Anolis sagrei: one gene and its partner. The protein of the gene in region 1 interacts with the protein of each later gene in a pairwise test. Links are inferred from orthologs where the notes say so. Each region holds a gene or a part of one and is shown on either strand. Other genes may lie near its edges.

Evidence for each region.
Region 2: the proteins of BCAR1 (region 1) and NPHP1 interact in a two-hybrid assay, tested with the Homo sapiens proteins (2 studies listed by BioGRID). The link is inferred for Anolis sagrei from reciprocal best matches to the Homo sapiens genes BCAR1 and NPHP1.

What each region holds. Positions count from the first base shown.
Region 1 is NC_090028.1:4,790,721-4,798,794, forward strand, and holds the start of BCAR1 (breast cancer anti-estrogen resistance protein 1), read right to left. Parts: upstream 3,106-8,074; 5' UTR 2,809-3,105; coding exon 2,797-2,808; intron 1-2,796. UniProt on the Homo sapiens protein: Docking protein which plays a central coordinating role for tyrosine kinase-based signaling related to cell adhesion. Implicated in induction of cell migration and cell branching. Involved in the BCAR3-mediated inhibition of TGFB signaling.
Region 2 is NC_090021.1:23,492,065-23,499,265, forward strand, and holds the start of NPHP1 (nephrocystin-1), read right to left. Parts: upstream 3,108-7,201; 5' UTR 3,026-3,107; coding exon 2,954-3,025; intron 2,586-2,953; coding exon 2,512-2,585; intron 30-2,511; coding exon 1-29. UniProt on the Homo sapiens protein: Together with BCAR1 it may play a role in the control of epithelial cell polarity. Involved in the organization of apical junctions in kidney cells together with NPHP4 and RPGRIP1L/NPHP8. Does not seem to be strictly required for ciliogenesis.

The DNA.
Region 1 (8,074 bases):
GCAGGCGAAACGTCAGGAGGGAATGCTTCTGGAACATGGCTAGACAGCCCAGAAAACACACAACAACCAGTGATTTGGGGTTGTGAATGTTGTTGCTGGCACTAGAACAACACTCAAAAACAGGGGAAATCCAGACAAGAAACCATCAGGGCCAGCTAATCACCTTCCAACAAAGGATTCCCCAAAGCGGTAAGAAGCCAAACCTTGAAACTGCTAGGCCATTGAATGCCAATCAAGGTGGCCAATTGAAACATTCGCATCTACCTCAAACAGACAAGAGTTCTTTCTCCCACCTTGGACATTATTCCAAAAAAACTCACAACCTCTGAGATATGCAGGCGAAACATCAGGAGAGAATGCTTCTGGAACATGGCTAGACAGCCCGGAAAACACACAACAACCCAGTGATTTTGGGTTGTGAATGTTGTTGGCACTAGAACAACACTCAAAAACAGGGGAATTCCAGACAAGAAACAATCAGGGCCAGCAAATCACCTCCCAACAAAGGATTCCCCAAAGCGGTAAGAAGCCAAACCTTGAAACTGCTAGGCCATTGAATGCCAATCAAAGTGGCCAATGGAAACATTCGCAACTACCTCAAACAGACAAGAGTTCTTTCTCCCACCTTGGACATTATTCCAAAAAACCTCACAACCTCCGAGGATGCCTGCCGAAACGTCAGGAGAGAGATGCAGGCGAAACGTCAGGAGAGAATGCTTCTGGAACATGGCTAGACAGCCCAGAAAACACACAACAACCAGTGATTTTGGGTTGTGAATGTTGTTGTTGGCACTAGAACAACACTCAAAAAACAGGGGAATTCCAGACAAGAAACCATCAGGGCCAGCTAATCACCTCCCAACAAAGGATTCCCCAAAGTGGTAAGAAGCCAAATCTTGAAACTGCTAGGCCATTGAATGCCAATCAAGGTGGCCAATGGAAACATTCGCAGCTACCTCAAAGAGACAAGAGTTCTTTCTCACACCTTGGACATTATTCCAAAAAAACTCACAACCTACGAGATATGCAGGCGAAACGTCAGGAGAGAATGCTTCTGGAAAATGGCCAGACAGCCCGGAAAACACACAACAACCCAGTGATTTTGGGTTGTGAATGTTGTTGTTGGCCTCCTTGATTAGCACTCAAAAACAAGGGAATACCAGACAAGAAACCATCAGGGCCAGCTAATCACCTCCCAACAAAGGATTCCCCAAAGCGGTTCGAAGCCAAACATCAGGAGAGAATGCTTCTGGAACATGGCCATACAGTTCGGAAAACTCACAACAACCCAGTGATTTTGGGTTCTGAATGTTATTGTTGGCCTCAAAAACAGGGGAATTCTGGACAAGAAACAATCAGGGCCAGCTAATCACCTCCCAACAAAGGATCCCCCAAAGCGGTAAGAAGCCAAACCTTGAAACCGCTAGGCCATTAAATGCCAATCAAGACAGCCAATTGAACCATTTGAGCCCCCAGTGGCGCAGTGGGTTAAACCCCTGTGCCGGCAGGACTGAAGACTGACAGGTCGCAGGTTCAAATCCGGGGAGAGGCGGATGAGCTCCCTCTACCAGCTCCAGCTCTTCATACGGGGACATGAGAGAAGCCTCCCACAAGGATGATAAAAACATCAAATCATCTGGACGCCCCCTGGGCAATGTCCTTGCAGACGGCCAATTCTCTCACACCAGAAGCAACTTGCAGTTTCTCAAATCGCTCCTGACACGGAAAAAAAACCTACCTCAAACAGACAAGAGTTCTTTCCCCCACCTTGGACATCATTCCACAGGTATATAAACCCCATTTTCCTAGTTTCCAACAGACTTCACAACGATAGATGCAGGCAAAACGTCAGGAGAGAATGCTTCTGGAACATGACCATACAGCCCAGAGAACTCACAGCAACCCGCTGTTCTATCCCTCTTTGCTTCCCATCTGTGTTTTTTGAAAATTCAGAATAATATGTATATATTAGGAAGGGATTAAGGTTGGTTAAAAGAATGAAGGGAAACAGAACCTCATTCTGGGAGAAAGGCCGGATATAAATCCAACAGACACACTAAGGAAATACATAAAAATGGGCGCCGGTTTCCATCCCGGGCCAAAGAAGTCCGACCTTGGCTTGAGGAAGGACGCAAAATCCCGAAAGCACACAAATGCACAAAAAACACACACAGAGAATACACACACACAGTCCCATCTTCCAAGGTCGAAGTGCCCAGAGCCTTGGCTTTCTCTTTTTTCTCCAAGGCATCTACATTGGGGAATAAATGCAGTTTAGTATCAGTTTAACCATGCTAAGGAATCTTGGGAGTTGTAGTTTGGCAAGACTCCAACAGAGAAGGCTCCAGACCTTCCCAAACTATACCTCCCTGGATTCTCTTCACCATTGAGCTGTGGCAGTTAACAGTAGTGTCACAAACTGCATTGAGGACAAAGTCAAACCTTTCCAATTTGGATCTGTCTTTCCTTTCTCTCAAAGATGGGGCCAACACTAGGGAGGGGGGGGGTAGAGAAGAGATTGAAGCCTAAAACGTTGGCTAGAGAAGAGATTGAAGCCCCCCCCCCCCCCCAAGAGAAGGACTAAGGGGCCAAACCCTTTCCTTCCTTGGAAAGCAGAGCCTTCCTCCTTGCCTACCCAAAGCGCATTCCGTGCGCCCTGGCCTCCATTTGGAGAGGTCCTGGGGGGACCCAAAAGGGAAGGCTCTCCCTCGCCAGCCCGGCGACCCAGCCCCACAAATGACCCACCGATGGATAGCTAAGAGCCCCCTCTTTCCCCCCACGTCGCCCTTTCCTCACCAGGTAGTTCATCTTCCCGGCCAGGCCGCGCGCAACGGAGGGGCGGCCGCAGTGACCGTGCGCCCTTAACGCATCGTCCCAGGCTCGGTTCTCTTCCTCCTCCTCTCCTCCTTCTCCGACGCCTAAGCCCGGCGAGTGATGTAAGCCAAAGGAGGGGAAAAAGAGAGCAGAGAAAGCAGGAGAGTTGCTGGCTAGGACGCCTCTTCCATTGGCTGCTCGGGAGAAAAGGAGGCGGCGCCGGGAGGCAGCGATGGGACGGCGGGGAGAGGCTGCCTCCGCCTGGCACCCGGCAGGGATGGCGGGCCAAGGAGGAAGAGGAGGGAGGGAAGGAGGAGGGCCAAGGGGAGGGCGCCTCTACGTTGCCCCCGCCTCCAACTCCTCTCTGCCTGCCTCTCCAGCAAGGGACAACGGGCAGGGATCCGCAAAGGTCGCCTAGTCTGACCCCCAGAGCAAGCAAGAGAATATCCCTGCTAAGTATGCACAGAGTATGATTGTCATTATCATTCACAGGGAACCAGAGGTTCCCAGAAGACATCACGGCTCTGTTTCACCATTGCCTCACCACCAGCTACTTTCAGTGGGACAATGAGTTCTATGAACAGAAAGATGGAGTAGCTCTGGGGAGCCCTCTCAGCCCGGTCATAGCTAATTTCTACATGGAACACTTTGAAGAACAAGCCCTGGAAACAGCAACCAAAAAGCCCACGATATGGTTCAGAGATGTGGATGACACCTTCACCATTTGGAGCCACAGAGAAGAAGAACTCAACAGGTTCCTGGACCATCTGAACAGCATCCACCCAAACATATGGTTCAGATATCTGGATGACACCTTCACCATTTGGAGCCATGGAGAAGAAGAACTCAACAGGTTCCTGGACCATCTGAACAGCATCCACCCAAACATATGGTTCAGATATCTGGATGACACCTTCACCATTTGGAGCCATGGAGAAGAAGAACTCAACAGGTTCCTGGACCATATTAACAGCATCCACCCAAACATATGGTTCAGATATGTGGATGGCACCTTCACCATTTGGAGCCATGGAGAAGAAGAACTCAACAGGTTCCTGGACCATCTTAACAGCATCCACCCTAACATCCAGTTCACTATGGAAAAAGAAAATGAAGGAAGACTGCCTTTTCTAGATGTCCTCGTCATCCGCAAACCAGATCAACAATTGGGTCACACCGTCTACAGAAAACCCACACACACAGATAGATATCTACATAAAAACTCCAACCATCACCCAAGTCAAAAAAGAAGCACCATTAAAGCCTTGGCAGACCGTGCAAAAAGGATCTGCGAAGCCCACCTCCTCCAAGATGAACTGAACCTCAACTGGGCTCTCCAGGCCAATGGAAACTCCACCTCAGACATCGGAAGAGCTGCAAGACAACCGAGAAGAAGCCACAAGAGTCAAGATGAAGATCCACCCAGAGGAAAAGTGTTCCTGCCAGACATCAAGGGAACCACTGATCGCAGAGGGAAGCTGATGAGGAAACACAACATACAAACTATCTACAAACCCACCAAGAAAATCCAACCAATGCTATGTTCAGCAAAGGACAAGAGGGATCCTCTCACTTCTGCAGGAGTCTACCGTATACCATGCAGCTGTGGACACGTCTACATAGGGACCACCAAACGCAGCATTGCCCAAACACGCATCAAGGAACATGAAAGGCACTGCAGACTACTTCAACCAGAGAAGTCAGCCATAGCAGAGCACCTGGTGAACCAGCCTGGACACAGCAGATTATTTGAGAACACAGAAATGCTGGACCACTCTCACAACCACCATGTCGGACTACACAGAGAAGCCATTGAAATCCACAAGCATGTGGACAATTTCAACAGAAAGGAGGAAACCATGAAAATGAATAAAATCTGGCTACCAGTATTAAAAAAACTCTAAAATTACAACAGCAAAACAGCAGAGAGTAAACAATCAGGCACATCAAATCACCTCTCAACAAAAGATTCCCCCAGGAACTTCCAAGCCATTAAATACTAATGAAGGTGATCAGTTGAAACATTCACACCTAGCTCCAGCACACAAGAGTCCTTTGTCCCACCCTGGTCATTCCACAGATATATAAACCCATTTTCCTAGTTCCAACAGACCTCACTACCTCTGAGGATGCTTGCGAAACGTCAGGAGAGAATGCCTCTAGACCATGGCCATATTGCCCGAAAAAAACCTACAACAACCCAGAGTGTTGGGTACTTTGTGTTGTAGGCCTGAGCATGCATTATATCATTGCTATTGTTGTCGTCATTTTTAACAGGATATCCCAGAGGGTTATGTAGTCTAATCCAGGAGCAGTGCAAGGCAGAGAGTTAGGTACTGTGTGTTGTAGTCCTGAAGATGCACAGTGTATCATTGCTATTGTTGTTGTTGTTCACCGGGATCTCCAAGTGTCATCTAGTCTAGTCCAGGAGCAGTGCAAGGACGCCTCTACGTTGCCTTCCCAGTAAGGGAGAATGGGCAGGGATCCCCAAAGGTCGCCTAGTCTATCCCCAGGGCAAGCAAGAGAGTATCCCTCCTAAGCATGCACAGAGTATGATTGTCATTATCATTCACAGGGATCTCCAAGGGGTATCCTGTCTAATCCAGGAGCAGTGCAAGGAAGAGAGTTGAGTACTGTGTGTTGTAGTCCTGAGCATGCATTATATCATTGTTGATGTTGTTGATGTTAATAGGGATCTCCAAGGGCTATCCAGTCTAATCCAGGAGCAGTGCAAGGAAGAGAGTTTGGTACTATGTGTTGTAGTCCTGAGCATGCATTATATCATTGTTGTTGTTAACAGGATATCCCAGAGGTTTATGTAGTGTTGAGATTAACTTCACAATTCAGCAGCAGATCAGTTGCACAACTTCAGCGCTTTCCAGTAGCTTCTTCCTGCACAGTATTTTCAGTCAACTGCTCCCACAACCTGCAGTCACTCTGGAACCTTTTACAGACACTTGAGCACATGCCTGGCCATTGTCAGTTTTACTATTGTCTTTCCCCCAGTCTAGATGACATTACAAACTTACCACAGCACACAGTTATATCTTGTCTTAGCAGACAGGTTCTTTTAATCAATTACATAGAGCCTTTGACGAACAACATCACAGCACAAGGAGAGATATACACTGTACATGACTTCCTTATATACAATTCTATACAATTACACATAGCAATCTCTGATTGGTTCCCAACTCATTAACTTAACTCAGACCCAGGATTACATCATTCACAATCACCTGGACTAGGCCAGAACACATTCCCCAAATGAAGTTCCCTTTATACAGTTAATGCATGACTCAGCATTTCCAATAGAAGCCCATTAGCAGTGCATGACTCAGCTATAATACATTACAATACATTGTAAAACCTGACATGTAGTCTAATCCAGGACCAGTGCAAGGCAGAGAGTTGGGTACTGTGTATTCTAGTCCTGAAAATGCACAGGGTATCATTGCTATTGTTGTTATTGTTCACAGAGATCTCCAAGAGCTATCCTGTCTAATCTAGGAGCAGTGCAAGGAAAAGGGTTGGGTGCTATGTGTTGCAGTCTTGAAGGTGCACAGTGTATCATTGCTGTTGTTGTTGTTCACAGGGATCTCCAAGGGTCATCTAGTCTAGTCCAGGAGCAGTGCAAGGACGCCTCTACGTTGCCTCCCCCTCCAACTCCCCTCTGCCTGCCTCTCCAGTAAGGGGGAATGGGCAGGGATCCCCAAAGGTCGCCTAGTCTGACCCTTAGGGCAAGCAAGAGAGAATCACTCCTAAGCATGCACAAAGTATGTTTGTTATTATCATTCACAGGAATCTCCAAGGGGTATCCAACTAATCCAGGAGCAGTGCAAGGAAGAGAGTTGGATACTGTGTGTTGTAGTCCTGAGCAGGCATTATATCATTGCAATTGTTGTTGTTGTTTGTTAACAGTGTTCTCCAATGGCTATCCAGTCTAATCCAGGAGCAGTGCAAGGAAGAGAGTTGGGTGCTATGTGTTGTAGTCCTGAGCATGCATTATATCATTGCTATTGTTGCTGTTGTACTCCTGAGAATACACAGAGTGCTGCTGCTCTTGTTGTTGGTACTAGGAACACCCAAAGGTCACCTAGTCTAACCCACTATCTCTAAAGCACTTTAAAACCATTTCAGATAAATGTTTTTGATGCGATTGTTTCTTTAAATGTTTATTTACCAATGGTTCAATAAATAAACAAAAGTAATTGTTTATTTAACTGTTGCTTTGATTGTATTCTGTTTTATAGTCAGCACAGTTGAACACCTCTGGGTGTTTCCCACATGGAAAGCTTTAAATAGCCTTAGGGCTCTGTTCCCATGCAGCTTAAACCAGGTCTGGTGATGGTTGATCACTGCTGTGACAAGTCATTTCAGTAGGCAAGATTCTCCTTCCCAGTTATGCAAGAACCAGTAGCAAGCAATGCATGCATGTATCCACACTGCAGAATGAATGCAAGTTGATACCACGTTGAGTGCCCTGGCTCCATGCTTTGGAATTTTGGAAGTTGTTGTTTCACATGGCTTTTCACCTTCTGTGCCAAAGAGGGCTGGTGCTTCTCCAAACTACAACTTCCAGGGGACTATGGGACTCTGGTGGGAGGGATAAGTGGGTATGTTTTCTATATCATGATTTCTATATTTCTATATTTCTCCCTGTGTGCCTGACCTTTTCCTGACCCTTTTGCCCAATTCCCCTTTACTGAAAAAATGTATAAAAATATAAGAAGCCACCCCGGTGACCCTGGAAAGGAGGAAATCCTCTCTGGATGTAGGTGAACTACAACTCCAAAACCAAAGGACAGTGCCCACCAAACCCTTCCAGTATTTTCTGTTGTTCATGGGAGTTCTGTGTGCCAAGTTTGGTTCAATTCCATCGTTGGTGGAGTTCAGAATGCTCTTTGATTGTAGGTGAACTATAAATCCCAGCAACTACAACTCCCAAATGACAAAATCAATTTTTTTGAGTGAAGGACATACATTGAGTTGTTAGGTGTCTTGTGTCCAAATTTGGTGTCAGTTCGTCCTGTGGTTTTTGAGTTCTGTTAATACTACAAACGAACATTATATTGTTATGTATATAGATTTAAGTCGTTGACGTGCTGGCTGATACCCAAACAGGGGATGAGCTGGAGATGTCTCTGCCTTGGTCCTTTCACTATTGGCTGCCACTTCCCGGCGGATGTCAGGTGGTGCAATACCGGCTAAGCAGTGTAATTTCTCCAGTGGTGTAGGGCGCAGACACCCTGTGATAATG
Region 2 (7,201 bases), on another chromosome or scaffold:
CATCCACAGATCTCTTCAACTCCAAACATCTACAACAAAATCAAAGGTTACAAAATCAAAGGGGTACTTTGAATACAATTTTCCTGCTTCTTGGCAGGGGGTTGGACTGGATGGCTCATGAGGTCTCTTCCAACTCATGGATTCTATGATTCTATATTTTATATAAGCAGACACAAAGACAGTTCTCATAGCCAAAATGTTGCTTTGTCCTTAACTTTTACTAGACCAGCCGTACAATTTGCTACTTTGCAGAAATGCCACTACAGCTCTCTTGGCTAGGGGATAGCAGTGGAGCATTCTGACTGTTGGTTTATATGTGCACACATCAGTCCTTCCGGTTTATCATGTCTTTCTGCACATATGTTGTGACTGAGGCCCCTTCCACACAGCTGAAGAAAATCCCACATTTTCTGCTTTGAACTGGAATATACTGCAGTGTGGACTCAGACAACCCAGTTCAAAGCAGGTATTGTTGGATTTTCTGCCTTGATATTCTAAGTTATATGGCTGTGTGGAACAGCTCTGAGAAACCCCATAGCACTGTACTATGTTCCCTGACTGAGAAAACACAGTCAAACGTCCCAACTGCTCCCTCTTCTGGATAATCATAACACAGTTCTAGATTGCAGTTGGCCCACTTGGGAATTACCCATAATCTTTGTTGCCCAGGCCCTATCTACACTGCCACGTAAAATCCAGATTATCTGCTTTGAATTCAATGCCATACAAAAGAAAAATACATAAATAACCATCCCACCCAAAGGCCTCACAGATTCACATTTAAACCAAAAAAAAAAAAAAAACCTCAATAATAACACACAACATTTACAATTCCGTAATAATCCATCAATAAAATGGAAGAGTCATGAAATTAACTACTGCCAGCAACCAGAGTGAGTAATCCATATAAGATACCAAGCCTTCTCGGTTTTATATGCCTGAGCACATAAGGAAGTTTTAAGTTGTTTTTTAAAGGAAGTTAAAGAGGGAGCTGTTTCAACCTTTTTAGGAAGAGAGTTCCAAAGGCGGGAGTGATCACAGAGACGGTCCCCTCTCTTGTTCTCACCAGCTGTGCTTGAGATGGGGTGGGACTAAGAGCAGGGCCTCCTCCACTGATCAAAGAGCCTGGGCAGGCTTGTACAAGGAGATGTGATTTGTTAGATAGTCTGGGTCCGAACTGTTTAGGGCTTTAAGGTAATAACCAGCAGTTTGAATTTAGCCCAGAAGTAATCTGGCAACAAGTGTAGCGGCTGCAACATGGAAGTGGTTATTTCCCTGTTCGGAGCCCCAGTTAGTAATATGGCCTCAGATCTCTAAACCAGTTGCAGCTTCCGGTTTGTAATTTTTTAAATCTTAGTACACACTTTAACTGTTATATACTTGCCTATTATAGTATGTAACATGATTTTTGGCTCCAGGGTTATAAATGTCATTTCTCAATTGGTTGCATCACACAGACATGGGAAAGCTCTATTAAACTTGTATGGAAGATGTCCATGCTAATTTCCACAATTCTGTTTTCAAATGTTGGAATACTATGAAAGTACCAAGCACTCTTTGCTTTACAAATTTCAGACTTTGAAAGATAAAAGAACAGGTGTTTTTCCTCTTTACACCACATATAAAGTGACTTAACTCCCTAGAACAAACATTTAGGAATCCCTCTCTATACACACAGCCTTGGAGAATATCAAGACACATACAGCTTTGGAGAATATCAAGATTGGCATCCTCCCTCCTGGTTTTAAGAAATAAAGTAAAAACTTGGCCGTGGAACCAGGCATTTGGGGAATAGCACAACCACAGTGCAACATACATCCATGGAGTAAAAATAAATGAAGCAGCTTGGACTATGATTATGGGATTAGGTGCAATGTTTTAACAGTTTTTTAATCGTATTTATATACTTTACTTTGATTTTATAGTTCAATGTGTTGTGTATTTGAATGCTTTTATGTTTCAATGTGGCATTGAATAATTGCCAAAATAGGAAGCCGCTCTGAGTTCCCTCTGAGGTGAGAAAGAGTGGGGCAGAAATCTATATAAATAAAAATGTAATGTTCGTTTGTGGTATTAGCATAACTCAAAAACCACTGGATGAATTGACACCAAATTTGGACACAAGACACCTAGCAGGCCAAGTGACCATCACTCATAAAACATTGGAAAACACAGCAGAAGAGACTTAAAAAGCCAAAAAACAAAAAATAAATGACAATGTATGCGCAAATCCACATGCAAACACACATAAATACAAATATACAAATATACACACATATATACACACACAAAACAAATATACATAGACTGGGCTACAGCAACACGTAGAAAGGAATGGCTAGTACAGTAAATAAATTAATAAATACTGTTTATCAAAGGGTAGGATCACATTTTCGGCAAAACATATCAAACTTGAGAATTCAAAATACATGTCACCATTATCCCCAAAATATTTAGACCTATATTAAAGACAGCTTATGACAATAAACGTCGCTGTGAATAAATAAATACCTCTGGTACAGGCTTCTCCTTTTCTCTGAGTCTTGGGCTCCGGCTTCCTTGCTTTCTTGAAGCAAAGCATTGACCTAAAATATATAGTAAAATAGAGATGCATTCAGTCATGCAAAAATAGTTATGTGTATGTAAAACTTAACAAGAAAGAACTCCCAAAAGCATTGGGAGCTTGTTTAGAGCCATTACAGATTACTCAACTGAAGGTGTAGCATTTAGTACAGGCCTGGGCCAACTTGGGCCCTCCAGGTGTTTTGGACTTCAACTCCCACAATTCCTAACAGCCTACCGGCTGTTAGGAATTGTGGGAGTTGAAGTCCAAAACACCTGGAGGGCCCAAGTTGGCCCAGGCCTGTCTGTCTCTTGTGCTGTGAGAAGAGCCGCCATTGCACCCTTCCTCTTTCTCCTCTCCCATCCCGCGGGAAGTAACCCAGGTCCAAACCTGCTCCCGGAGCTCTCTGCCCCGGCACAGGGCGCTCTGCAGCGGGCCCGTCCGGCTCCGGCGACTGGCCATTCCGAGGAAGGCCTCCCTCTGCGAACTCCAGGGAGGAACTAGGCCGCCGCTGGTCGCCAAGGCAACGCATGCTGCGGCGCCCGCTGATGGCGTCATCCGTGCGCGCCACCACAAGGAAAAGGAAGAAGAGCAGCTGAATGATAAAACAGGGTGAATCCCAAGTCCCAGCCCAGAAAGGATGTTGCCTCCATAGGGAGGAAAAATGAACTCCTGACCTTTTCAAGGAGGAAAGGAAATAAAAGATAACCAAAGACTTGTTGTGTTCTGTTGGTGGCTCTTTCATTCATTCCTCCCTTTCCTTCATACTCCATGGACCTTTCCACACACAGCCATATAACCCAGAATGTCAAGGCAGAAAATCCCACAATATCTGCTTTGAACTGGAATATCTGAGGGCCCTTCCACAGAGCCCTATATCCCAGAATATCAAGGCAGAAAATCCTACATTATTTATTTTATTTATTTATTTCGTGTACTTCTACCCCGCCCTTCTCAACCTCCTACGGGGGACTCAGGGCAGCTTGCAAAAAGGCACAATTCGATGCCTACACAATAATACAAATAAATGTGTAAAACAGCAATTAAAACAATTAAGACTGTTAAAACAATCAATATATATCACAGTCAATAAACCAATCTCAAGCTCAGCGTTCGCCAACTCAGTCTATATTTCGTTCTACATTATCTATTCTTATCGGTCGTCGTAGTCCTTTATTCATCTGCTTGGTCCCAAATCCATGTTTTTAATTTCCTTCTAAAGGAAAGGAGGGATGTCGCTGATCTAATTTCCCCAGGGAGAGAATTCCACAGGTGAGGGGCCACCACCGAGAAGGCCTGCTCCTCATCCCCGCCAATCTTGCTTGTGATGGAGGCGGGGCCGAGAGCAGGGCCTCCCCAGAAGATCTTAAACTCCGAGGCGGGACGTAGAGGGAGATCCGTTCGGACAGATACGCTGGGCCGGAACCATATAGGGTTTTGTAGGACAAAACCAGCACTTTGAATTGTGCTCGGAATTGGATCGGCAGCCAGTGGAGCTGACATAGCAGAGGGGTGGTATGCTCCCTGTATGACGCTCTGCTTTGAACTGGAATTTATTTATTTATGACATGTATATGCCGCCCTTCTCATCCCGAAGGGGACTCAGAGCAGCTAATGTATATATACATTGTTGTTGTTCATTTGTTCAGTCGCTTCCAACTCTGTGACCTCATATATTAAATTATTAGCATAGTACAATATGGGTATTATATATTACTATATTGTACTACGCCATTATATTATAACATTATTAGTAATATTACGTGTAATATAAAGTGAGGCTCCTCGGGTGGCATAGTTTACCAAGATCACCATGGCCCCTGACAGATGGCTGGATGGCCATCTGTCAGGGGTGATTTGAATGCAATAGTCCTTCTTGGCAGGAGGTTGGACTGGATGGCCCATGAGGTCTCTTCCAACTCTTTGATTCTATGATTCTCAATCTGTTGCAGCCTTCTTCCGCCTTCACAGCCGTTGTAACATGTACCATGTTATCCTCCGTCTGCTCCGCTGTTGAAGTCTTTGGAATTATTTAGAAAATGTGTTAAGATGTGGAGTAGAAAAATTAAGACTGAGACTGATATTTCAAATGTAACTTCTGTAGTTTGATGTATAAATTGTATATACAAGGAGGGAAGGGTGGGAGTGGGAAAAAAACCCAATAAAAGAAAAAAAGTCTTTGGGTCTTCGGACTGTGCTTGGTCTGGAACCTCCCCCACGGCCACTCCTGGGAGTGCATGACTCCAGTCATTGTGCTCGCAGGTTCATTGGAACACGCAAGCCCCCTCACCACGACAAGGTGACGGTCCATCGAGGGGGTAATTTTATATTAGTAGTAGTATATTGTATTACATTATAATATTATAAATATTATATGAATGTACAATATATTATATTATTAGTAAAGCACAGAAGACAAGATGGAACTGTCTTCAACTGTAGCCCCCTCTCTATTCACTCTAGCCAGAAAAGCAGTTGGTGCCGGGGGCTCCCAACTGATGATATATGCAGGAGACAAGATGGAACGGTCTTCTGCCCCCCACTCTCTTCACTCTGGCCCAGAGCAGCAGTTGGTGCCGGGGGGGGGGGGGGGAGGCCTCGAAACTGATGATATAGGCAGGAGACAAGATGGAACTGTCTTCTGCCCCATTCTCTCTGAGATATATGGCAGTGTGGACTCAGGTAACCCAGTTCAAAGCAGATATTTTGGGATTTTCTGCCATGATATTCTGGGTTATAGGGCTGTGTGGAAGGGCTGAGTCCACACTGCCATATATCTCAGTTCAAAGCATATGATGTATGATTTTATTCAGCTAGGTGGCAGAGGCCCCAGTCCTTCACTCTTCTTTCCTTGTTTTTCCTACATACACCTTCCCCCTTCTACTTTCATCTTCCCTTGTTTTTCTTTCTTCCCTCCCTTTTTGTACCCTTCTCCCCTCTCTTTCTCTTCCTTCTGTTCTTTTTCTGTCTTCCCCTTCCATCTCTCCTTCTCCCTTTCTTTTCCTCCCTCAATGCCTTTATACACAGGTCACCTAGTAGCAGTGAATCTGCTTTGCTCCCTTTTCCATTACTTGTCACAGGACATTTCACCTAGCACCAGCCAATCTGTTTTGTTCCTTTTATTTCCCTCAATTCTGGGCTCAAAAGGTATGGGTTTTTAATGTTCTAATCAAAGCATGGACAAACTTGGGCCCTCCAGGTGTTTTGGACTTCAGTTCCCACAATTCTTAACAGCCTTATTTTATCTTAAGTTGGATAATGAAGGGTATGTGTTCCTAATATAGTCCAGATCCACCAAACATGTAGGAGCCTTCATAGTATCAACATACACAAGATACTTTGGTTTTTACATATATATGATTGTGTGTGTGTGTATTTAAATCACTATCCATTTTTCTTAGGCAGGCATTCTCAGCGATGGTTTTGTGAACTCCATCTGAAAGATAGCCTACAGCCCTTGGTATTCACTGGTGGCTTCCTATTCAAGTATTAACCAAAGCAAACCCAAGGCTTAGGTCCCTTCCACACAGGTGTATAAAATCCACATAGAAATGGATTATCTGGCAGAGTGGACTCAGATAATCCAGTTCAAAGCAGATATTGTGATGATATGCCTTGATATTCTGATTTATATGGCTGTGTGGAAGGACCCCCAGCCCCTTCTAGGGCCCTTCCACACAGCCATATAACTCAGAATATCAAGGTAGATAATCTACAATATTTTGTTTATTTATTTAAATCCCACTTTATCTCTCCATATGGAGACTCAAAGCGGTTCACAATAAAAAAAAATTACAACTACAAATATACCATAATAAAACAGTATATTATATATTATTAGTAATTAATATATAAATATTAATAATTAATATTAATATATTAATATCATTATATTACAATATTATATTGTATTATTATTGTATTACATTATATTCAATATCTGCTTTGAACTTAGTTATCTGAGTCCACACTGCCAGATAATTCAGTTCAATGTGGATTTTATACAGCTGTGTGGAAGGGACCCTACACTGCCATATAAAATCCAGATTATCTGCTTTGAACTGGATTATATGGTACTGTAAACTCATAAAATCCAGTTCAAAGCAGATAATGTGGGTTACCTACTTTGATAATCTAGATTATATGGCAGTGTAGAAGGGCCCCCACTCACCTTCTGAAATAAATGCTGCTCCTGTCCTGAATTGATTCTTCAGATTCCAGTAATTACAACAATCAGGCCTCACCTAGAACACTGCCTCTTTAACTATGGATACCAAACACAAATGGAGTCCCCTAAAACTGGCAACAGTAAAGGTTTTCTGGCCATCACATAATGGCTGTTTTAGTCATTTACATGTTGTGTTTCATCTGTGCTTCGTAAAAAGGAAATCAGCCTCTTTAGCAATATTTGCAAATACTGATTTTATCCGTAGATGTTAGATTAATGCATATTTTAAATGCCTACATACCCGGTGTCACATAAAAATGTATTGGCCAAAAGGGGTTATGAGTGGAAAAACTTAAGAAGTCTTTCTATAGAGTATTGTGTTCCATTCTAAGCACCATATTTTAAGGATATGGGCATGTTGAAGCAGGTTGAAAAAGGCAACAAGGATGATAAGAAGTATGAAGAATAAC